Linked DNA regions of Oreochromis niloticus. The protein of the gene in region 1 purifies or fractionates together with the protein of each later gene. This does not show direct contact. Links are inferred from orthologs where the notes say so. Each region holds a gene or a part of one and is shown on either strand. Other genes may lie near its edges. The genes, in order: stat1a and irf9.

The links.
Region 2: the proteins of stat1a (region 1) and irf9 purify together in Homo sapiens (affinity purification with western blotting; 5 studies listed by BioGRID and IntAct, with this or other methods). This does not show direct contact. The link is inferred for Oreochromis niloticus from reciprocal best matches to the Homo sapiens genes STAT1 and IRF9.

What each region holds. Positions count from the first base shown.
Region 1 is NC_031986.2:20,025,395-20,037,595, forward strand, and holds the start of stat1a (signal transducer and activator of transcription 1a), read right to left. Parts: upstream 5,476-12,201; 5' UTR 5,320-5,475; intron 2,932-5,319; exon of another isoform or gene 2,879-2,931; 5' UTR 2,876-2,878; coding exon 2,748-2,875; intron 1,495-2,747; coding exon 1,350-1,494; intron 1,265-1,349; coding exon 1,169-1,264; intron 1-1,168. UniProt on the Homo sapiens protein: Signal transducer and transcription activator that mediates cellular responses to interferons (IFNs), cytokine KITLG/SCF and other cytokines and other growth factors.
Region 2 is NC_031974.2:8,874,933-8,887,951, forward strand, and holds the start of irf9 (interferon regulatory factor 9), read right to left. Parts: upstream 6,456-13,019; 5' UTR 6,304-6,455; intron 5,864-6,303; 5' UTR 5,845-5,863; coding exon 5,788-5,844; intron 4,472-5,787; coding exon 4,349-4,471; intron 4,260-4,348; coding exon 4,079-4,259; intron 1-4,078. Other genes in the region: E3 ubiquitin-protein ligase RNF31, read right to left, coding at 10,966-11,013, 12,051-12,216.

The DNA.
Region 1 (12,201 bases):
TAATTTAGACATAGAGGTTAAAGCTTTGCTAAACAAGGAAATCAGATCAAGATTACACCCACTCCAAGTGTCTCAATCTTAAGACAAAATCCACAGAGGAGCAAATTTTAGCCAGTTTCTCATCAGGGCCAAAAACATCACTCTGGGATCGTTGAGGATATCACAGGTAAGTATTTCCTTTTCCGGGCATGTCCCACCGGGAGAGGCCCCAAGGCAGACCCAGGACACAGCTGGCATGGGAAAGCCTTGGTGTTCCTCCGGATAAGTGGAGGAGGTGGGTGGGGATTGCTTGGGAGAGGGAGGTCTGAGCATCTCTGCTTGGGCTGCTGCCCCCGCGACCCGGCCCCGGATAAGCGGAAGAAGATAGATGGATGGACAGATGGTATTTCCTTTTAAATTAAAAGTAATTTATCCCACAAGCGTGGCAGTTTTGTCCATGACAAAAAATTAGGTATAAGGGGTGTAATGAAGTAGATCTTTTCCAATTCTTTCTGTCTTTTAGATCTAGGAGAAGGTCGCTTTAATGTTCTGATTACGGCTTGTGGCTGTGAAGTAGAAAATATCCGTGGTCATGTATTCTGTGTAAGAGTGGAAAGAGATCATGCAGATGAAATATTACTAGGAAAAAAACAAACAAACATAGGATGATTTTTTTTTTTACTCTGTGAGAGTAAGAGAATATAAACAGCATGAAGATGAAATGGTTTTTATAGCATTATTTAATGCACTAAAGTTATAGTACATAAGAAAAAAAGCTGATTCTGAGGTTGTTTCTGTTGATTTTTCATTTTGAAGAATGAGAACTCAGTCCCTGTGTGCATATTGGGCTTTGATTCATAGAGCATGCAGACATGTGTACCGTGCATCAGCATGATTTTGGAGCATTCAAGCAGCCATTAAGTTGGAAAAGTAATACAGTTCTTATCATTTGTTCAGCTATTTTTGTCTTGAAAGCATCTTTTCTCTTGCTTTAAGTTTCATCTGGTAGGATTCAGGATGGTCTACTAGCACCAGAAGCTGGCTGTAATCCACCTATAAGCTGTTTGGATCCTGCACACTTGTTTATAACTTAAACCCCAGTCTGATTAACGGAAGGATTTAGATCTGTCGGGTGTTATTCTGGTGTCATAGTTCTGTTCTAACAACGAAACCGAGCTGCAGCTTTTACCTCGGTGCTCTTTGCAATCTCCAGTATCTTCAGCTCCTCCTTCAGGTTTCTGGAGATGATCATGGCCATGTGGACGGGATCTTCCTGGAAGCGATCCTGGAGAGAGAACCGCTCGTACTTTTAGTTACATAAAGGAATTTAACCTGGCTCACACAGAAGTGTTTCGAATCCAGGGTCGGACCTGCAAGTTCCTCTTGATCTTGCGAATGTTGTGCTGCAGCAGGAAGTTGTTCTCCAGAGCGAAGCGGCTGTGTTGGTCGTCCAGCTGAGCGAGAAGGTCGTGGAAACGAACAGTGGCCAGAGAGTCCTGCATGGCCACCGTGTCCCTGAGGAGACCACAGTAAGTCTTTGAGTAGCATGAACAGAAGACGCTCAGTTTGGGGTTAACCTTGAAAGGGTTACAAATTGGTTTTCAGCAAATGCTGTGCTTCAACAAAACCTTTATCCAAATATTGAGAAGTCCATGATTATCAGTCTCATTAGCTCAAACACTTTTGCTTTGGTCTGATAAAAATCTAGCAATGGAACCGTTAATGAACAGATGCTGAAATGATGACGAAGGACAGGTATTTCTGCACTTTTACAACCAGGATTTTATGGGCTGTGAGGACTTTTTTCCCACATGTAATTAACTTTGCGCAGCTGAACCAAAACTCTCAATATGCGCAAAGATATAGAATAGAATAGAATAGAATAGAATTCAACTTTATTATCATTGCACAGGTACAGGGCAACGAAATATAGTTTGCATCCATCCAGAAGTGCTTTAGCCATGATATAGATATATTACAATATATATTAGCAATAATATAGATATGTAAGTATATTACAGAAATGGGTCTATTATGGTATGTTATACACGGTGTGAAGTATGTTATGAATATTCTATAACTATAAGTATGTACAGGCTGTAGTGAGTACAAGCTATGTACAGGCTATGAAAAGGATATAAATATGAAATAAAAAACTATACAGAAATATGAGATATACAGTTATACAGAAATGTGAACTATGCAAGTTATGAACAGTTGTAGGATTAAAAATTATCATATGTACAGAATGATTATTTACACAGAACTATACAGTAGTGCAGTTAAGATAAGTGAGATATATGGATAATTTCTACAGAGGCTATATAAAATGCTAGTGGTTGTGAGTGGTGGTTCAGTCCATGTTATTATATCCCTGCATTGTGGATACAATGTCATGAAGCTTTCCATATCCTTGGTGACCCTGGTGTTTCCAGTGCAGGAGCATAGATCCAGATCCACGTCCACAAGTGTGAGCTCGCTTCTGTTTGGGCTACGATCCCGATATAAATGCACCTACAATTTTCTTTTCCATCAGGACATCCGGTTTAACCTTTGCTTTGATTTACTTTGCAACCTTTGATTTTCTTGTTTCAGTGTTAGTTTTTCCTCTATTTTTTTTTTTGTATGGAGGGGATATGCCAGATAAAAAAATTTAGGTAAATCAGTACAGGTATTACAATAAATACAACTTTTTAATGGTTCAAACGAGTCGATGAGAAACGTTTGGCAAAAAAAAAAAGACGCTGCCCTTTATTCGGACTTCTTACCAGTCGATGCTTTCGATCCACTTGCTCAGGTACTGCCGGATGTCCATGGGGAACGAGTCATCGTACAGCTGATCCACCTGCTCCAGGTATTTGCTGTCCAGCATCTGAAGCTGGCCCCACTGCGCCATCTTCTGGTGAATGAAAGCAGCTCTGTCAGGACGTTTTTTGCACGATGTGCCACAGCTTACATAAAAGACGGGAGAGTCTAAAAGCTGCATTCTTACTAATGACCAGCAGGTAGCCTCTTCCCCTGCTCAGTGATGCCAATAAAATAAACTCTCTTGGTGAATTTATTTGCCTAAATCTGTACTTTCACATCTTGCTAATATAACATGAACTTAACTTTATTGCTTTTTAGCTGTATTAGTGTCAGAAATAAGAGGTAATCAGTTTCAAATCAACAGGTAGGTGGTGGCCAAAATGCTCAGCTTCATGATTTTCCTAAAAAAACAGAAGGTGGCTACATATATACAGGTTTTTCTACCGAGCATCAGGCAAGATTATCTGCCATTTTAGTGTCACAGATAAGAAATGTTAAAGTGGTTTTGCTGTCATACATAGCCTGTTTCTGTGGTGGATGTTGATATGAAACATCCAACAGAGCTTCAAATAATGAGGACAGTGTATGTGCGAGTAATCACTGTAGCCTCCGACTGCTCTAAATACTCAGTTTCAATAATTTATTTTCCTACTCTTTGATCTTTATGTCATGGAGGGCACATATCTTTAACATGTGCAACAAAAGTCTTGATAGTGAGGGGCAGCCAATCAGAGGAAAGCCAGCTTAAAAGTGAAGGAGCAAAAACAGCTTAGACAGAGGATGAACTGGAGACCAAGTATGAGATAAATAAGGACTATTCTGATCTGGGAATCATGCAAAGCTACTCTAGCAGAGTCCAGGAGTGAAAATATGGAGCTGGAAATGAGCAGAAAAAGTCTGATTTTATATACTTTTTCACTGGTGTGTCATCAAAGATTGAAGAAAACTCTAGCCGGATTATTAAATGCCCACAAATGCAGATCATGTGTGTGAATTTATTGACATGTATGTCACATTTCTGTCTGCAGTCTCCAGCTGTAGACACACAACAGTTAATAAAAACATACAGAATCTATTATCATGAGGCTGTGAGATAAAAGTGGCAGAAATCTGAGACTTTTTAAAAACCCTTTAAAGGGAATTTATGCTTTTTGAGAATTCGCTAGATGTGGATACCCAGTTAAAGTTTATATACAATGTAGATGTGTGTAATAATCCTGAATAAATAAAGGAAACATTTATTAGTCATTTGTTCAGAGCTTGGTTTTCCAAGAAGTCATCTTAAACCCATAAATATATGAGGATAATTCAATAATTTGAAGGTCTAACTGAAAATAATTTTTTATTTCTGACTCTCCTTGCAGCACTGTGGACAGAAGACAAAGGTCAGGAAGCTCCGAAACATTTATCTCACTACAGAAAACCAGCTGCTTGTTTAGTGTGAGAAATTCTGAAATTATAAGTGCTGACTCGAGGATTGTCACGGGCTGCCACCTGCCTCCTTCCTGGCTCAGTTCTGCTCTGACTTAAGATCAGAAAGTAAAAGCAAAGAAAGATATGTGTGTGATGATGTAAAGGAACATCCAACACTGATTTCTGTTAAAAGCAGCTGGATTTCATAGACACTGAAGCTCATAAGCTGTAATTAGCTCCACAGATTAATTCCCATATTGTAAAACAGGATTGTTTGACAGCTAAAGAAGAGACAAATTAACCTTTTTGTTGTTTACTTTTTTAAAAATCAAACTCAATCTTATCTGTATTTATCTTGTTCTAAGTGGCTAAACCTGAATGTAGGAGGCGTCTAAGGTCAGCTTAGGTTTCAGTTTCCCCACAAATGCAACTTTGCCTCCAGCATCAGTTTAAAAATATATCATTAAGAGTATTTAAACGTATGTCTATCTAGATATATGACCTAATTCCACATTCACAAGACGATCATAGCCAATAAGTCAATTTCACAGCTTTCATTTTTAGAGCATGATCCCTTTCTGGCTCCCCAAGTCACTTAAGGCAGCCCTGTGGTCCTTTCTAGCTCTCCTCAGCCAAACTCTAATCGGTAATGTGTCTTTTTAAGGATTTCAAGCAGAGGCCCTTATTTTAACGTCTAACAATACAAGACTCAATAGATTCTCTACATGTTGGTGCCTCACCTGAGCGATCGGCATATACAATAATTCATCTGGTGTTACACATCGACTAAGATCCCATTTTACACTTGGTTGACGGGTAATTATTTACGTTTCGGACCCCTAATGGTGGGCGGTATGGACATAAGCGTGTAAAAAGTTAAGATTTGATTTAAATAACGGCTACGGACAGATACACAAATATTACAACATACACAGAGGAACGCTTATATCGCGTAAACTACCGTTAAGTGTTTCCAGGAGTCGTTTTTTTAAGCATTACCGATTAGCAACGTCAAGTTTAAATGCTCCCCTAGCACGGCTTGCTGTGTAAATAAAAGGTCACAGAGGCGATTTATATAAAACAACGTCACCTTTTGAACATGTAAGTCGTGTAACTTACCTTTAATGTAAAGGTAACGTGTATAAGCTTCCACAGGAAGTAAGTTGTGTTTCCGAAAACGCTTGAGTCCCTAAATGTGCCAGAAACAAGCCACACAGCTCTCCTACCTTTTTTCTACTCCAGTGGCGCAGCTTACTTTACGGAAACACTATCAGCCAATCACCGCACACCATTTACGACAAGCCCCCGCCCTTTTCCATGAGACAGCCAATCACAAAGAGGGAAAAACGGCTGTTCTTCACAGCTACCAAGCATGCCTTAAAAAAAAAATACACAGAGGGTGTTTTTTTATTTAAAGCTGCCCCTGTAAGCATAACATGAAGAGTCAATATGTATTTTGTCATTGAACACAGTTAAAGAGAACGACACTGTACATAAAATGTATTTTTAATCTAGTTTAAAGCAACATGACGCAGGCTTTTCGGAGGGAGAAAGTCAGTAAACAGAAGAGCCGAGAGTGACCACGTGTTTTCAGAGAAAGAGAAAGCGGCAAGGACGCCTACAACTCTGAAACTGAAACTTAACTTAAAAGTTCTGTTTGATCGTTGACATGTGCAAAAATTGTGGAATAAGAAAACAATAACTGATTAAAACAAGACGCATTTAAAAAACATAACAAAAAACTAAAAAAAAATTAGAAAAAAATAATAATTATTGCACTCTAAATATCAAAAGTTACGGAAGCGTAGAGCTGCCACCCAGGCAAAAGAAAAATAGAAGTATATCACGTTATAACGTGAAAAGTTTATTGTTCTAACAAGATACTTTTCATGTTTGTACAATATACTTTTGACGTTTGAACAACATAATATCACGTTATTACAATATACATAAATATCACGTTCGTACAATATTTATATTGTACGAACGTGATATTTATATTGTACGAACGTAATAATTATGCATATTGTAATAACGTGATATTATATTGTCCAAACGTCAAAAGTATATTGTACAAACATAGTAGTATATTGTACAAACATGATAGTATATTGTACAAACATGAAAAGTATCTTGTTAGAACAATAAACTTTTCACGTTATAACGTGATATACTTCTATTTTTCTTTTGCCTGGGTGGCAGCTCTACGCTTCCGTAAAAAGTTATAATCTTGTACCGACAACAAAAAATCACCGGTTTTAAAACGTAATTATTTCACTAATATTACTTCTTTGTAAGGTAAGTTCTTATATTTTACAAAGTTGAAAACTTCCTTGACCCAGCCCACATTTCTTCCAAGAAGCAGAATTTCCTGTAATTTTCTAAGTGGTTTTGAGCAGTATTTCCCCAGGCTTTCCAAAGACCTCTCAAAGGTTTTCTTTGGGCATTAGCTAAATTTTCACTTCACTTAATTCTTTCAGAGGAAAAAAAGAAGTGGTAGATGCATCTGGACCTTCAGCTGATCCATCTAATGTTCACCGAAGCCTCATCAGAAATGGTCTCAGTAGAAGGTGGCTGTCAGGAAGCCATTCTTAAACAGGAAGGGAAACAGGAAGAAAAGGCCTGAACTGAAAGTAAGTGGAAACCGGTCTAATGGAGTGATGAATCCAGATCTGAATGTTTATGGTTTATGGTTCTAATCATCATTAGTATGCAGACCGGTAGGCAGAAAAGAGGTACAGTGAGTGTTTACAGTCATCTGTAAAACATGGTGGAGGCTCTGACATTGTTTGGGCTGCATTTCAGTCAGTGATGTTGAAGATCTTTGTAAAAACTGATGAATTATCAACATAGAAAAGTACCATCACATTTTGATCCAGCATGCAATACCATCTGGAAAGCATCTGATTGGAAACAGTTTAATTTTTCTTCATGACAATGATCCCAAACACACTGCCAATGCAACAAACATACGTGGATAGAAAAAACACACAGTGGAACACTATCAGTCATGGATTGGCCTCCCCAGAGCCCGGACCTCAACATTATTGGAGCAGTGTGGGATCATGTTGACAGAGAACAGAACAAAAGGCAGAAACATCCAAAGAAGAGCTTTGAATGTTCTTCAAGAAACCTGAAGAACTATTTCTGAAGAATGACAGATTTCAATAAATCAATCACCTGTTTCTTATTATCCTAGTAGAAGTAAGGGTTGGTTCCCTGTTTCTTTGTGCTATGCTAGGAACCTTCTAAAATAGGGGTGTGGAACTCCAGACCTGCAGCACGGTGGCACGGTGGTTAGCACTGTTGCCGCACAGCAAGAAGGTCCTGAGTTCAATTCCACCATCAGGCCGGGTTCTTTCTGTGTGGAGTTTGCATGTTCTCCCCGTGTTTGCGTAGGTTCTCTCCGGGTACTCCGGCTTCCTCCCACCGTCCAAAGACATGCAGCTTGTGGGGATAGGTTAATTGGATAATCCAAATTGCTACTAGGTGCGAATGGTTGTCTGTCCCTGTGTGTTAGCCCTGCGACAGACTGGCGTACCCCGCCTCTCGCCCTATAACAGCTGGGATAGGCTCCAGCGCCCCCCGCGACCCTGAAAAGGATAAGCGGAAGCGAATGGATGGAACTCCAGACCTCAAGGGCCAGGTCCTTAGACATGTCGTTGATCCAACATAGCTGATTTAAATGGCTAAATTACCTCCCCAATATGTCTTGAAGTTCTCTGGAGGCCCGGTAATGAACTAATCATTTGATTCAGGTGTGTTGACCCAGGGTGATATCTAAAACCTGCAGGCCAGCCCACCGGACGTTGAGGCCTGGAGTTCCCCACCCTGTTCTAGAGGCTATCATGAAGTTGCTGAAAGCAGTGCATCATCCACCAACCAGTTTGACCGGTAGACAAACTGCAAAGGGTCCAACTGGTGGCCTGTAATGTCCTTCACATGGGCTAACACCAGGTGTTCAAGGGATTTCATGACCACAGACGTCAAGGCGACAGGCATACATGCCAACCCTCCCGATTTTTCTGGTAGAATCCTGAATTTCAGTGCCCCTCCCGAAAATCTCCCGGAGCCACCATTCTCCCGAATTTCTCCTGATTTTCTACCCGGACAACAAAAATGAAAAACCATATCCCAGAATTCATAGCATGGCCCAGCCAATTCCAGTTTCCAACAATGGCGGCAGCTACTCAGGTTTAATATTACTCTTATTACTCTTTCTGGGTTGCAAACTAAACTTTTAGCATATTTTCAGGCGAGAATGTAGCTGAGTAAACTTCAAATATCTGAGCCGGCGAGAACAGCGAACTCCCGGCACATCGTTTTCAAACCCCCGTGGTCTTTCGCTACTCAGGTTAAACATGATATATAAGTCACTTAGATAGCCTAAAAATGTTATTGCTTTTTACTTTTTTCAGTGTTTTATTTGTTCCTGAGTAAATCGGTTTGGCTGAGATTAAAATTATTAGATTAGATTAAATAAAACTTTATTAATCCCTTGGTAGGGTTCCTCCGGGGGTTTTCACACAGCTGAATAAACGTCAAACAGAAAACTGATTAAACAGAAGTGTGAGATGGTCGAGAATTTACGCCAGTGTCCTGTTATATTTAGGTGGGTCCTCAGGTGGATGCAGCCTGTGAATTTGGGCAGCCTGACTGCCAACACTGTGAAATTCAAGTTTTTTTGTAGATCCTCAGATCTTTTGAGGATGTGGGTAAAGCTGGGAGTTCCTGTTTTTTTTTTTTACCACTACAAAAATTTCTGGGTTTGTTTTTTTTGTTTTTTCACAATGTATCCACTGTGTATCCACTGCACACTCTCCATTGTACACATGGATACACTTTTTCTCTAATTTCACATGTGTATGTCTTACAATTTAAGAGTTTTCAATTTAAGAGTTGGCAGTTTTCATGCATTTACTACAGAAGCATTTCTTTGGAAAAAACTGAAACCTAATGTTGAAATAGCCCTTTGTTTTCTTATATTAAGATATCTCAGAAAATAAATGTGTAATTAAATTTCTTTATATTGATAGAAAAGGGTGTTTCAGAGGTCTGGCACACTTAAGATTAAAGTAGGCTGTATGTGGCCAACAATGTAAAATGAGTTTAACATTGCTGGTCTAATAATGACATGTCTGTTAATTTCCACATCCTGCTTCCTCTTCCTCATTAACCGTCTGCTTAAACAAAAATAAAAAATCCTGATTTCATAATTTCTCAAACTGCCACTCATGTTCTGTTTCTCTTTGGTTTTTGCTGTGGATCTGATCTGTCAAAGGGGAACTCACAAACAGCTTCAAGGTCTGAAAATCAGCAGATGCAGTGAACACTGAACATCAGACTGCTGCTCTCTGGAGGTGATGGTTCACTTCTTCATCTCTATGTTAGGCTGTAGCCGGCTTGGCTTAGTTCAGCTCGACTCAGTTTTTAGGGTTTTCCATTAGGTGTTAGCACCTTGTACTAGGTACTTCTTTAGTACTTAAATACTTTTTTAGGAGTCCCAAGCGAGCCTAGTCAAGCCCAAAACATGATGTCAACAGACTGCAATCTACTAATTGGCCAGGGACATGCAGATTGTCACATCTATTGTATTTCTAGCCTATAAGACATTTAAACAACAGTAACTAACCCAGAGTGGCTTAGAGAGAGCCATATTTACAAACCACGTCTCCACACTGCTTTCCCTTTATAGGTTAAAACTATTGGTATTGGTATCTGCAAAACCTGTATTCACTTGGTATCGGATTGATACCAAAAGTTTGCAGTATCGCACAGCACCAACCGGCGGATGACGGGCTATGTGAATGTGAAACCATCGCAAACCATGTCACAGCAGATAAATCAGAATCCTTTTACTGTCATTAAACATCAGAGGTTCAACAAAAAGCAGCTCCCCGGTAGCAGCATTTAGAATAAATAAAAATGAAAACAAATAAATAGCTAACTATAAATATAAATACCAACTATACAATTGTACAAATATACAAGGTTTATATAGATGTGCAAAATTGCTCTGTAGTGTTGCACATGTCTTGGGCAAGTGTGTTTGTGAGTGTGTGTACATGTTTAGACATCTTTGTGAGGACAGAAAATTGGCATGCTACTATACTTCTGGGGACCAACAGTCACTTATGGCAGTGTTTCGTAACCACTGTGCTGCAGCACAAAGGTGTGCTGTGGAAGATTATCTGGTTTCACCTGATTAGTACTCTAAGCGAATGTGAGTAACAGGAAGAACAATTAAATTCTCTTCCACTGGTGGGGAGTACAACGTCTTGCTCCAATTAAATGGGTTGCCAACTGCTAGTAAAACAGAAGGAGATGAAGAAGAAATAACATATAGTCATGCGACAACTCAGCGCGTAATAGCAATAGATAAATATTTGAAAAGAAAAAGTAGTCAATCTGCCCGGGATCCTGGAGAAAATTCCGACCTAGCATGAGTAGCGGTCAGAAGAAAGCAAAAATGTCATTCCAAATTATTATGTAAATATTATTTAAGTGTCATAAAGATTAAATATGTTGTTTTTCAATTAAACTCATGGATGGCATCGTGTCTCAGGGCTCTTTGGATCACTGAAATCAATCTCGGACACCTGTAATAATTAGTTTGCCAGGTGAGCCCAATTAAATGAAAAACTACTAAAGAAAGATGTTGCACATTATAATAATACATTTTACATTTTATTTAAAAGCACCTTTCAGAACACCCAAGGACACTGTATAGCAAATAAAACAGGCATAAAAACATGAAATATACACAATAATACAAATAGCAGATAGAAAGTTTAAGATCTTGGATAAGTTATATGGAGTAGGCAATTTTAAACAGGTGGGTTTTGAGTTTGGACTTAAAAAGAGGGAATGAAGTGATGTTTCTGAGGTCAGGGGGTAAGGAGTTCCAAAGTTGAGGGGCAGAGTGACTAAAAGCCCCCCCCATAGAAACAAGACGAGAGGAAGAAACAAGAGAAAGGGAAGAGGATGATCTGAGGCACCGGGATGGGATGGCCATCCGAACCAAGTCAGAAAGGTATGGTGGGGAGAGAGAATGAATAGCCTTAAATTTATGGAGGAGTATTATAAAATTAATGCGAGATTTGACCGGGAGCCAGTGAAGCTGCTTCAGAATAGGGGTGATGTGGTATGTAGAGGGAGTCTTAGTGATAATAGGGGTAGCCGAGTTCTGGACACGTTGAAGCTTATTGATGGACTTTTGTGTAAGGCCAAATAAGAGTTAATTACAGTAGTCGAGGCTATGAACGAGAATGGCAATGGCATGAGGAGTGAGGAAGGGGCGGAGGCGATTGATGTTACAGAGATGGAAATACGCTGAGCGAGTGACATTATTGATGTGTGAATTGAAGGATAGTGTACTGTCAAGAATGACACCCAAACTTTTCACAGAGGGAGAGATAGAAACCGGCCGGTTATTGATAGTAACAGAAAAACAGGTAGTTCTAGATAGCAATGATTTAGAGCCAACCAGGAGAAGTTCTGATTTGTTGCTGTTGAGTTTAAGAAAGTTGGAAGAAAACCATTGTTACAGCCCTGGCCGTCTAGAGTTTGTTTCTGTCTGTGTCTTTAAGAATCTACAGGTCCTTTCTGATTGGAGAGCTGGCGGCGGCTGATTGGTCCCCTCATCATGTGGCGGTTTTTAAAAGATCCCTCACCAGCAGTTGTTGGCGGCAGTGACTGACAGCAGCAGCAGACCTTACCCTGGCTTCCAAACCTTGTGTTATTCGTGGGTTGTTCCTGAGATATACTGAGCTTTGCATATAGTGTGTAAATTAGTCTTCACTTGTAAATAGTACATTGTAAATAGACACTGAAACAGAAGGGGTGAGCTGCCTTATTATTCTCTTGTACTGTCTTCTCCTGTTTATTTCAGTAAGGGAGTTAGGTGTAGCATGTGTCTTTTGTTTGGAGGGGCCCAAGAACAGATCCCTGGGGCACCCCAGTAGACAGAGGAAAAGGCTGAGAAGTGAAGGATTTTAGTTG
Region 2 (13,019 bases), on another chromosome or scaffold:
GCTATCAAAGTGAAATACGCAAAGTTAATGCACCTTATCCTGACCCGGAGCAATCTTACAAAACAGATGTAAATTCAAAGTGTTTTAACTTGCTGTTAAGTGAAGGTTAAAGGAAGTAAAAGTAATTAATCTGAACCTGGTTAAGCAGCAGAGGAACTGTTTAAACAGTTAAAATATATAACTAATAACTTTAAGGTCCAAGTATGAATTTTATAAAAGAAGTCAGACATCTGGAAAGAAAGTTACTGATGATTTTTTTTTTGGGCTTAAAATCAAAAGCAGATGTTTTAAAATATATTTATTTTTTATTATCATTTTTTTTATTTAAAGAAACGATAAGGCACAGCAGAGCTAAAAAATAACTTAAATACAGATAAAGTTCATGCAAAGACCAAAGTGCAGGAGATTATCAGAAGAAAAGATGGTCATAAATCCACACAAGAATCCAGGTATTTCTCCCTGGAAACAGACAAACATCGGCAACACAACAAGCGCAGAGGGCACGGCAGAGCTTTAAATTCCCTTCAGCCTACATATAACATATTTGTTTGGCATTTTTATGACATTAAACAGGCAAAACAGCAGAAAATAGGTCAACAGTCAGAGGGTCCAAAAGCACGGCCACTTAAAGAAAAAAACGTGTGAGAGAAATAAACAGCGAGAGGGCTTAACGCTGCAGAAAAGGTGGAAGTGGTGATCAGACTAACAGGGCGCTAATAGAGATGAAAGTTCACCAGTTTCTGCAGGCACATTGTGCAACATTTACTCTGCAACACCCAACGCAGCTAAACCTCCATTTTCTCATCTACTGTTAATCTGAAGTCAAACAGAAATCCTGTGAGTGGGCCAGCACCCACAGCAGATAAACACTCCGATTAAAACCACGTTTATATGTAATATGTTTACATTCATTTCTCTGATGTAAATAAAGGTTACTTTAATTATTTTAGTGAATCAAACCTTTAAAAATGGAGAACAATGTCGACCACAACAACAAAGAAAACCTACATACATATATTTGATTACCCTTCCTTCAGTTCTTGCATAAATTTGCTTCAGTGTCACTCATTCTGACATTTAAAATCATATTATATTAATTTTTTTCTGCTAGTTTTAAAAAGTCTTGCAGGGACGAGCAACTAAAACCAGCCGAAAACTGAAGGCTGTTTTTGCAGCACATATAACATTAAGTTCGCTGGCTGCCGCTGATAAACTTATCAGACTATTTCTGATGGTCTGTGACGTACTGCTGACAGATTAAATATTCAACTCTGTCAAACAGAGGAACTATTAAGCTATAAACCTGACATCAACTTTCAACAGCAGCAATGCCAGCCCTGCTAACAGTCGGGCAAAACTGTAAACACGTTACCATCAGCCGTGGGAAACTTTTAGATCCAATTTCTCAGTTTGTTCACGTTAATTATCGAGTTTATAGTTAGTGATGGTGGGCTTCTGGGTGTTCCTAATATTCTGACTGGTTCATGTACAATAGTAATTGTTTAATGCAGTATTTATGTGGTGTTATGATGATAAAGAAAAGCTGAAAAAGTAGGTCTTTGTAAAAGCAGAATTGATGGCAGAGCTGTTAGTCAAGTGCTTGGTAACTGTAGCTTTCAGAATAAAAGCTACAAAGCTCCTCCACATTAAGAGCAGAAGAAACTGACCACCTGCATTTACTAAAAGTGAGAGGAAATGAGTTTTAGTTCATCTTTCTTAATCTTCGCATGATCTCTGAGATGTAACCAACCAATCAACGCGCTGGATCTGTGCGTCTGCAGCCTGAAGAGACAGACACTGTTGTCATGTGCTTCCTGAGGTTTCTGTTTCTTAGAAAAAGAGCTGCTGCATTTTGAGACATCGCCGGCCTGCAGTTGCTCATCTCACCCTACAGTTTAATGAGGATGCACAGGCGTGGCAAAGCGTGTGAACTGTTTTTACTTCTCAATCAATAACTGGAACAGTTTTAAGTGGCAGCCAGGCAAACATCCACTGTTGTATTAAATGCAACAGACTGTTGTGAAAGTGTATTGCAAACAGAATGGGTTTGTTGGTTAACCCCCATCATGACTAAATACTAACCCCGAGGAGCTACAAGTATTCCCATACTACCTGCTTTAAATGTGCTAGAGTTCACCAGTCTGACTCAGAGAGGTCAGGATTAAGTTTATTTTTTGGCTGCTAAAGTGACACAAAGGCTGCAGCTCATTATCTTGAGATAAAAACCCAACCTGGCAGAGGGAAGCTGACCATGTGACTGTGTGAATGTTTGCAGGTCTGCCCTACATTGCAACTGAGCTATCAGTTTACCAGCCACGATCATCACAGGCTGATACTATGTAGCAGGATTTGAGGCTTATCGTGCTAACTTTGTGTTTAACCCTGGATGTACATTCTTTTAAGGGTGGGTCACGTCTTTTTGGCTCAGTTACATTAAATGAAAATTGGACAGGAACATCGTGGCTAGGAAAACTCGGTGGTTGCCAGGCGATTGCATTGAATTTTTTTGCATCTGGCATCGGCTGACCAGAGGTTCCAATAACCTTAACCTCTGGGTTTTTAATTACTGTAATAACAAGGCGATTGCACAGATCACCTGGTGGGAGGCAACCTGTCTCCAAACAAACAGTCCAACTGACTGCAATCACTGTGAAACAGCTGTTTCCACGTAATCACCGTCCTAATGTATAAACACAGACAGACTGCCAACATGCTGCAATCAGACTGAGTCAGTCTGCACCAATGAGGGCAAATTATTTGTTACATGACTCTTTGCAAGAGAGAAAACTATTGCACACAATAACACAGATATTTGTGTGCAATTGCCAACTTGACCCCATACAGTTGTAAACTGATTGCAGACTGACTTGATCAACCACTGACTCAAATGGTTGCAGATATTTCAAAGCAGTGTGATTGCATATCTGCAACGTTCTTCAACCTTCTTATTTGTGGGACTCTGGCATTACCAGGCCACAGTGCCATGCTAGCATATGCTGCAAACCACACCTGCTCCAGATAAGAGATCAACGCATACCAGCACCCACCACTTAGTGACCTAACAATTCTCAGAAAAAGGGTCACCACTTCCCGACCCCATTGTGTAGGTAGAGAGTCTGTAGTCTTAGAGACCCTCTTAAGACTCTGATGGCTCAGAGATTATATCAAATACGCAAAGTTTATACTAAAACAGGGAGCCTAAGCTGCTTACTAGCTGATCTTGTATAAAATTTTCAACAATTCTGAAAAAACTATAAAACTATCTTACATGCTCTACAAAAATACCTTCACCAAACCTTCACATTGATTTAGGAGTAGTTTAGGTCTATTCATTTTCATCATCGAGCAGGGATACCAAGAACTTTAACATTCAACATTTTTGCCAGCTTTTCCAGTCTTACTGACCTTCGTTAGCATATATACAAGACTTTTTCACGCTACACTCTCCCTCTCATGCACACTCCCAGCCTGCTTTGTTGCTCAGGCTGTATTGTGTCTTAAACCTACTGAGAGTTTTCAAATATTGTACTTTGTTCCTGGTTTCGTAAAACAAGGCAGCGGTATAATTTATGGTGCTGCTTTGAATTCCCACCACAACGGGTCCTTGTGCGCTGGTGTGCCTGCATTGTTCTGCCATCAGGAGTGAAACCGGGCTGTTCGTGTTAGACTGTGAGCTAATAAATCTTAAACAGCAGTTATTCTTAATGAAATACAGATGTCTTGAGATGGAGGACATCTGAGCCAGTGAAGTGTGAACAACAACTATCAGAGCTCTTACAGAAAAACATCCATGGTTACATTAATGAATTCAGCGTCTTTACACTGCATATTCGGGCCTCGCCTAGGCTTCACATGTATGTTTTTGTAATTGCTGTCACACGTCTGTCCTGCCTCGTGTGCCCTCATGTGACCCACTGGGAAGTTTTAGGTTGACTTAACCACCTTCGTGTGACCGCGAGACTGATTTTGTCATTGAGGTTATCAGGTTTGAGGTAAGTCAAATGCTTTGCTGCTGAGGTATAACTAAGTTGTACTACGACCTAGCCAGAGCGCGCTGAGTAGGTACTTCAAGTCTCACCTTGCTCGCTGATGGGGACCAGGCGGTACACCTTGTATGGTTCTGAGATGTCCAGCTGGGCTCGGTCCATCACCTCCTTAAACTCAGGACTCTTGTTGAGGGCGCAGCGCAGACGGGTCTTCCAAGCGGCCGGGTTGTCCTGGCCCCCGTCTGTCAGCTTCCCCTTGAACTCTGCCCACGCCTGGGGAGAACAGCGATGGCGATCTCAGAGATTTAAAGCAGACTGGATTTGTGGCATTTAAAGCAAATCTTGAGAATTTCAAGAGCTACCTTGAAGATCGCAGCATCTTCGTCTTTGCGGAAGTCCTGTTTCCCCGCATGCTTCCAGGGGATGCGGAACATGGTTTTGGCCTCGTCATCCCACACCAGTCCCGGATATTTCCCACTGCTGACCTGAAACAAACCAAAAAACACGGCAAAGTTTAAGAAGCTTATAGATTTCCTGAATTTCACCTGAACCTGGATACCTGCAGACATAAATCAGGGCTGCTAACCAGCCACCTCTTCTGCATGTCTTTGTAGAAAAAACACTTTTAGATTGACTAATACTGCAGAAAACACAACATCATCCACCTTTAAAGCAAAAATATGCAAACTTTAGTGTTCTGAAATGATCAAATCTGACAATTGTATTGGTTTTTTTGTGTCACGGAATTTGCCCTGTCTCTTCTTCATCACCCTCAATCAGTCACAGCAGATCCTGCCCCTTCTTCAGCCTGGTTCTGGTGGGGGGCTCTTCCTGTTAAAAGGGAGTTTTTTCTTCCCACTGTTGCCAAGTGCTTGCTCAAAAGGAGTTATTTATTTATTTGTCGTTGTCTCTGTACTATTGTGGGGTCTTTACCTTACAATATATCAACCATATATAACCAACATGAGGCGACTGATGTTGTGATTTGGCACTATATAAATAAAATTGAACTGAGCGTTTTTATTACTGGACTCTACTAAAGTAGCTTTGCATCATTAACAGTTCAGAATAATCCTTATTTATCTCATATCAGGCCTTGATGTGCCCCATTAATTCATCCTGTCTGAAACTAGCTGTTTTAGCTCTCTCCAGGCTAACTCTCTCCTGATTTGCTCTCTGTGACCTCATAAAGCTCCAAGAGTGGAAGAAACTGCCTGAAACTGAGTGTTTAGAGCTACAGTGAAGCTTGCACTTGCACTGATCTCACTTATATATGTCAGAAAACAAGAAAAAGCAGAACACATTCACTTAATTGGAGCAATATCTGTTTATTTCTTAACCAACTAATCTAAAAAATATAAACTTGTTGAAAGTGCAGCTGAGCTCAACCTCAGCGGATATCACTTCTACACAATACACAGAATTTTGTGGCCTAAAGTCAAAATCAGTTATTTCCTGATATTCAGTTTATGACTTTAGTTAATAATTCAGGGTTCAAACTGTTTCATAAAAACAAAAAGTTGCAATAACCACCTATAACACATTTATATGATAGTAGAAACAGAAAAGTGCATTTTTCCACAGCTGACCTACAATTTGCTTAAGCAGATTATGCAATTGCAGCTGATTTTCTAACAAGAGAAAAGTTAAACTTTTGCTGGTGTCATTTTCAGCCCCATAGTTATGAATATATGTTTGTTAGTGACCTCTCAATCACCCCTTTCCTCTCCCTGTCCCCCCCCCTCTTTCATTTGTCCTTACCCTCTCACACTTATGCACACACACATACACAGCCACACACCTGTTCGACGATCCAGGAGCGCAGTCTGCGAGTGGAACGCATTCTCCCAGCTGCCATCGCTGCTTCTTTAAAAATGCTGAAAACACCGCAAAGTTTCAAGGCCAGCGGCAAAACATCAACACAAACAACTTCGATCAACTGCCCCGACATGCCCTCCTACACCCACCCCGCCTCACATTTTTAATAATAGCACAGCTTCACTCTGAGCACATCAAAAACATCCAATATTAGACATAAGAAATATGTAAAAATATGAATAAAGGTCGATTTGCTTTCGCGTAAAAAGCCAAGTTCAAGCCTCGTGTTCAAGCCGGGTCTTTAAACAGAGCCGACACACATTAAAAAAGAAAAGAAAGACAAAAACTTTCTAAAATTAGGTCTTTTTTAAATGGAGTCTGGACTGGAAACAACAAAGCAGCTGCAAACATCCTCCCACCGCCGCATGTTATATTTATAAAAAATCAAATATAGACGCTAAGGTGTTAAATTAAGGAAGTTGATTTAAGTTTCGTTTACCTCGGTTGTGTTTCCTCCGCGGTGCCTGCGGACTGACTGCCTTCTCCTCTTCAGCTCTGCGGCTCAGTCTGTGAAGGCGCTCCTTTTCCCCGAAGTCACGTGGTTTTAGAGAAACCCTCCGCAGGTCTGACACCAGGGGGCGAAAGTGAGCACACACAGAGACACAGGGTCCTGAGTATGTGCACAGAGGAGACAGTGGAGATGTGACTGAAGTGCAGACTTTCACCTTTCATTCAAGGGGATGGGAAAAAGTATTCCATTATCTGTTTAAGAATGACATTCAAAGGCTCTAAAGTAATTGGACAATAAGTGAGAAGCAGTTTCATGGCCAGGTAAGGCCTTGTTCCTCATTATTGCATGACAAATAAAGCAGATATATGAGCTGGAAATGAACTAACCAGCCAGGAACACCTGTTCAACTGCTTTGTAACGCAAATATCCAATCAGCCAATCACGTGGCAGCAGCTCAGTGCATTTGGGCATGTAGACACAGCCAAGACAACCTGCTGAAGTTCAAACCAAGCATCAGATCAATAAAGAAAGGTGATTTAAGTGACTTTGAATGTGGCATGATTGTTAGTGTATTGGGCGGGGGGGGGTAATCTGAGTATTTCAGAAACTGCTCATCTGATGGGATTTTATAACATAACCATCTCTAGTGCTTACAGATAATGGTCCAAAGAAGGGAAAATATCCAGTGAGCAGCAGTTATCTGGATGAAAATGTTTATGACCTAAGTAACATACCATGTCACAAATGTCAGATCATCTCAAGCTGGTTTCTTGTACATGACAATAAGTTCACTCTACCCAGTGACCTCCACATGCACCAGACCTCAGTCCATTAGAGCAGTGGTCCCCAACCCCCGGGCCTCGGACCGGTACCGGTCCGTGAATCGTTTGGTACCGGGCCACGAGAGTTGAGGCTCAGGTGTGAAATTTGTGTTTTTCAGGGTTTTTATCGGTTTTCAGCGTTATTTTGTTATCGTTTTTATCGTTAACTCGGTTTTCCTGGGTCTTTTCACGTGTGTTATGAATAAATCTTCTTTTTTTCGGTACCGGTACTAGTTTTATTTTGTTGTATTTATCCGCGACACCTTAAAGGCCGGTCCATGAAAATATTGTCGGGCATAAACCGGTCCGTGACGCAAAAAAGGTTGGGGACCGCTGCATTAGAGCACCTTTGGTATGTGGTGGAACAGGAGATTCACATCACAGCCACCGAGAAAGCTGCAGCAGCTGTGATGCTATCTTGTAAGGACTAAAGTCTCTGAGGCATGTTTGTTGAATCTACACCATGAAAAATTAGGTATTAGCAAATTACTGGCAAGTTGTACCTAATAAAATGTCCAGTGAGTGTATATTTAGATTGATTTTTGTGTAACTTGTCCAGACAGTCAAACAGTTATACAAGAGGTATACAAGGTTCTTAGATCTTGTTTTAACTTTAGTCACCATAAGCGTAAGTTTCCACCTTGTAATAGGAATATTCTTTCTGGGTCAAAATGATGTGATAATATTCATAAGGCATATGTTTGACATGTTTTTGGCAGATTACAGGCCAATGAGTCATCTTTTGGCAGAGGCAGTGCGATTCCTCAGGAAATGTTCTGCTGGGAATCCTTTGTGTCCTGCCAACAAAGTGAATGTTATTTTGACATTTGCCACCTAGCTAAGCAGTATTTAGGGTCATGTACATCCACAATCATCATGGAAACAGTATTCCCCGATGGCTGTGGTCTCTTTCAGCATTGTAACACACCCTGCTACAAAGCAAAAAATGGTTCAGGAATGGTTTGAGAAGCACAGCAACAAGTTTGAAGTGTTGACTCGACTTCCAAATTTCCCGGATCTCGATCCAATCAGTTATCTATGGGACGTGCTGGACAAACAAGTCCGATCCATGGAGCGAACAGTTGGCAGCAACAGGGGGACCAACACAATATTAAGTAGGTGATCATAATGTTACACCTGATCAATACATATAGATATATCTATATATCTATATATAGATATATATCTATATCTATATATCTATATATAGATATAGATATCTATATATAGATATAGATATCTATATCTATATATAGATATCTATATCTATATATAGATATCTATATCTATATATAGATATCTATATCTATATATAGATATATAGATATAGATATATATCTATATAGATATATATCTATCTATATCTATATCTATATATATATATCTATATATATATATCTATATATATATATCTATATATATATATCTATCTATCTATATATCTATCTATATATCTATCTATATATCTATATATATATCTATATATCTATATATATATCTATATATCTATATATATATATATATATATATATATATATATATATATATATATATATATAGATATATATATATATATACTAACAGCAGAGATAGTATAAACGTTCAATGTTTTTTTGACTGAATGATTCATTTATTCTTTATTCTTGTGCCTTTTTTCCTTATTTTCAGGCACTTTTAATAAGAAAATACCAAATCTCCAAACAATCAATTCACTGTAGTGTGTTTAAATTCAATTAAAGGTTATTTAAACCCTCTGAATGGTTATCCTTATGGGCTACTTAAGATAAAGCATCTGAATCTCACTGATATACAATCACAGAATAATAAGTAACATGAGACGTACTTTACATTTTAAATTTAAAAAATTATTTTTGTGTTAACTTTAAGTCTTAGCTTGGACTTTTTTCTTTGATACAGAATTCATTAAATGTTTTATTTGATAACAGTTTTGCTTTTGCTTACAGGGTTTCTATGTAAGTAACAGTGCTGATGCATTCACGAAACAGAGGAAATCTCGTCTCCTTACACAAGTTTGTATCATTTCTTTAGACTGTAAACTGTAATCTTGTTGTTTACAAATGTAACGTTTAAATTCTCATTAAAAACAACACTTTAAAAGTCACATTTGGCTAAAGTAACTTCAGAAGAATGTATTAATGAAAACACCACAAAATCTGTCAAAACATAACAGACATCAGTAACTCCACTTTCGTTAAAATAATTCTATTTATTGAGATGATGTTCAACCTCATATATCCACCCACTTTTTATAAAGCAGAAAAAACTAGAAACTCTCAGACAAAATGTTAAAGACTGAAAAAAAATTACATTTTGGTTAATAAACATACATTTATTCTGAACTGACTTTTACATTTACATTTTTTTAACTGGATAAATCAAACCGAGTTTATTACATCAAGAGCCAGCTCCACACCACAAATTATTTCCTTTCAAATCTTAAAATTTGTGCATCACTGCTACCTAAAAGGCACAAAACGTGAGGGCAAAAGAAAATCACAAATAAATGATTTTTTAGACCCATTCCAAAGGTTTGTCTCCTTCAAAATAAAACAACAAATTTCAAATACATTTAAAATAAAATAAACATGCTAATTAAAAACAGTCTGAATCTAGAGAGGTGTACTACAAAGAGAGATAAATCAGTTAGTTGGGCATATCGAGCTTTAAGTCAGAGTTTTCACTGCGATGAAGGTGGATCTCTTAAATGAACGTGAACCCTCAAAGTGCTTTTTACTACAAGCCTCATTCACTTCAAGCACACACATTCATACAGCGCTTTTATTCTAACACACACACACACACACACACACACACACACACACACACACACACACACACACACACACACACCTACCTGCTCTACCTTGATGACCACAGGCTCAGTTTAACCTGCTAGATCACCATAACTAATGCTTAAGGCAACCTGGTCCTGTTCTATCAAAGCAGGACTCGGCTTATGGAGTTAACGTCAGGTTTAAACCTTGGTTTCCTTCTTACAGGGCTACATCGCCATGGTAATTTACACTGCAGCTACACCAAAGCACATATGAAATCACCTGAAACAGTGAATCCATTCCCCATGGAGCTCAGCGTTTGTAGTGACAGTCTAAATGATAAGCATCAATCATGAAATGCAGATTTTTAGGAGAAACTTTATTTGTAGCTTTTTTTTTTTTCTCTGTTTCCTGGAGAATTTCTGTATTCAGTCTAAATTAAACAACAAAGCCTGTTAAATTAATGGAATATTTAGCTGTAATCATGTCAGGTCCTCCTGTATCCCAATGATGGAGCATTGCTGATTCTGTTTTCTGTGTTTAAACTGTTCATATTTCTCTAAGATTACAGCTTTAGTTTCCTTTGTATTATCCCCTGCTGTGCTGCCAGTTTTCAGTCTGCGATCGGTCACATGCTACAAACTGTCTGGTTTGATCAATCGAGAAGAAGCTCTCATCTGCTACTGTCACGTTAAAACTGAGATTTTTAGGCAAGGTTAAAAGCTTTCTGCAGCACTCATCTTTGGCTTCATTTTCTTTTAAAATATATCGTTCATCTCTCTCAGTGACCTCCTCTGATTGACGTAAATGGCATTCAATCATTTTGTGAAATAATGCGTTATACACCACCTTTAATGTGAACCCGGATCAGAAAGCTTCCATTAACAGAGAAGGTTGAGAAGCAGCAGTTATGTCTGACTGGGATTTTAAGTTCTGTCAAGCCAGCTAAAGCAAAGAAAGCCTGGCTTTGTTGAGCTTGCTTCATAGTACACTCCTCTGATGAGGATCTGTCTGGAAAAAAGGTCTGGAAGTCTTCATTTGTTTCGAGGAACTTTTTCTCCAAGAGGAACCTCCATCAGTTTCTGTGGGGAGAACAGAAATCAGCTACTTGATCTCAACCAAAGAAAGAGTGATTATTTGTAAAGGTAACTGTGAAGAGTGGCCGTCGAACAGGAGAAGAAAACTATGACTTGCTTTGACAGGCAGTTTCCTTAAATTCATTTCTGCTTTCTTTTTAAGGACAGATGCCGTGTGACTCCCCATGAGCAGATATTTTTAGTTACTTTGTGTCCGTGTTGGAATTTGTTTTGAATTTTTATGAGTCATATTTTTATTGCAGTGTTTTTTTCTTTTACTTGATAAAGCTTATTGTACCTTTGAATTCTATATTTGATCATGTTTTGTTTTTTTTAAATCAACTTTTTCAAGATTTAGTCTTAATATTTTTAGTGGCTCCTAATTTTTTTCACACTGTTAGTTTACTTAAAGACGATTGTAGTGGTTTTAATTGGTTAATCAATATGTTTTAAATACATAAAGTAATGCTGGATGTTTTATTATTGTAGCTGTTTTTAATTTTTCTTGTTTTTTTTTTATTTTACTGTGATGTTTTGTAGTTTTAATCAATTTTAATTTTTTAAAATTTGATTTATTTTTAGTTTCTCTTGATTTTAGCCTAATTCACTCATATTCATATTCAGACTTCCCTCGCCCTGGCCTTCTCTTCCAGCTCGTCAACAGAGATAATCTGTCCAGCTAGTCCTGGGTCTGGCCCTGGGGCCTCCTCCTGGTAGGGCATGCTCAAACCGAGCTCCTCATTCCGTCTTTAAAAGAGAGCCCTCATTCTTTCAGTCATTTTCCAGAGATAATGATCGTAGGTTAGGGTAGGAATTTTTATTTTAATTAATTTTTTGAATCCCCTTTGTAATAATGTTTCTAATTTCTCTCTTTTCTTTTAGTTGTTACTGCATTTATTGACATTCTCAGAGTAATTATATGTCATTTTATGGTTTGGTTTGGTCATTATTTTTATTATTATTTTAGTTTTTTCATTATCCAAAGTGCCCAGTCCTACTGAACTCTTTGTCTGTGTGCATGAATACATTCATCAGCGTCCCACCTTGAGCAGTCGAGTTTGGTAAGCGTTGTCCTCCTCGCCCTCTCCTCGCTGTACGTCCACCTGGTACCTCTCACAGGCGCGAACCACCTCGTTGAGGTCGTAGATCAGAGCCGGGTCCAGAGAGTGAGCGTTTATCAGGCTCACCAGGTACTCCCTGTAGTGCTTACTGTGGGAACAAACACACACCTGAATCTCAGAAGTTATCTTTATCAAAGGAGGGACAGATTCACCTACAATATTTGATTTTTCTTTTTAGGCGGTGTATTGGAAAAGAGTTCACTCAGCTACAACCTAAACAAACCCAATATTCACTCTGTGTTTGGTCTCGACCAACATGTAAGGAAACTATTTGACCACCACTTTACTCACAAGCTGCCATTCAGCTGAGTCTGCTTGAGCAGGCAGTGCAGAGTGGCTCTTTTAGGAAACTGCTGCCACAAATGTTGCCGTGACAGTGAACCTAAACAATAAAATTCAAACTGGTGCGTCTGCCTGACCTGATTTACTCTCTGAATCATACTCTGGGTTTTAAAGGGAAAAAGCTGATGTTAGCAGTTCCTGGCAGCTCTGAGCAGATACCTGGTGTGGTGATGAATTCTTATACAGTGTTTTTGTTCCTGAACTTGCCTCAATTTACAGTCTTCTGATGAGATTACAGTAAATCAGTCGCTCCAAGCTTTAAATCTCATTTTGTTTCCCTTTGGTATGTATTGGAATGTGTAAAACGTTTAAGTGTTGGGGAGGACCTGCATACGTAGTTGTTTATCTTAAGAGGTTTTTTTGTGACACTGGCTGAAGTGACTGTATAATGAAAAAAAGAAATTCCAGCATCATCCTGTCTTTCCGGATCTGCTGGATTTCTTGAATATGAACCCTGATAATCTCTCTGACAGAGAACCAGAAGGTAAGAAGTTTTTGCACCTGTGTGTATTATTTATCGTTGTCTCAAATGTTGCAGACCGTTTCCAT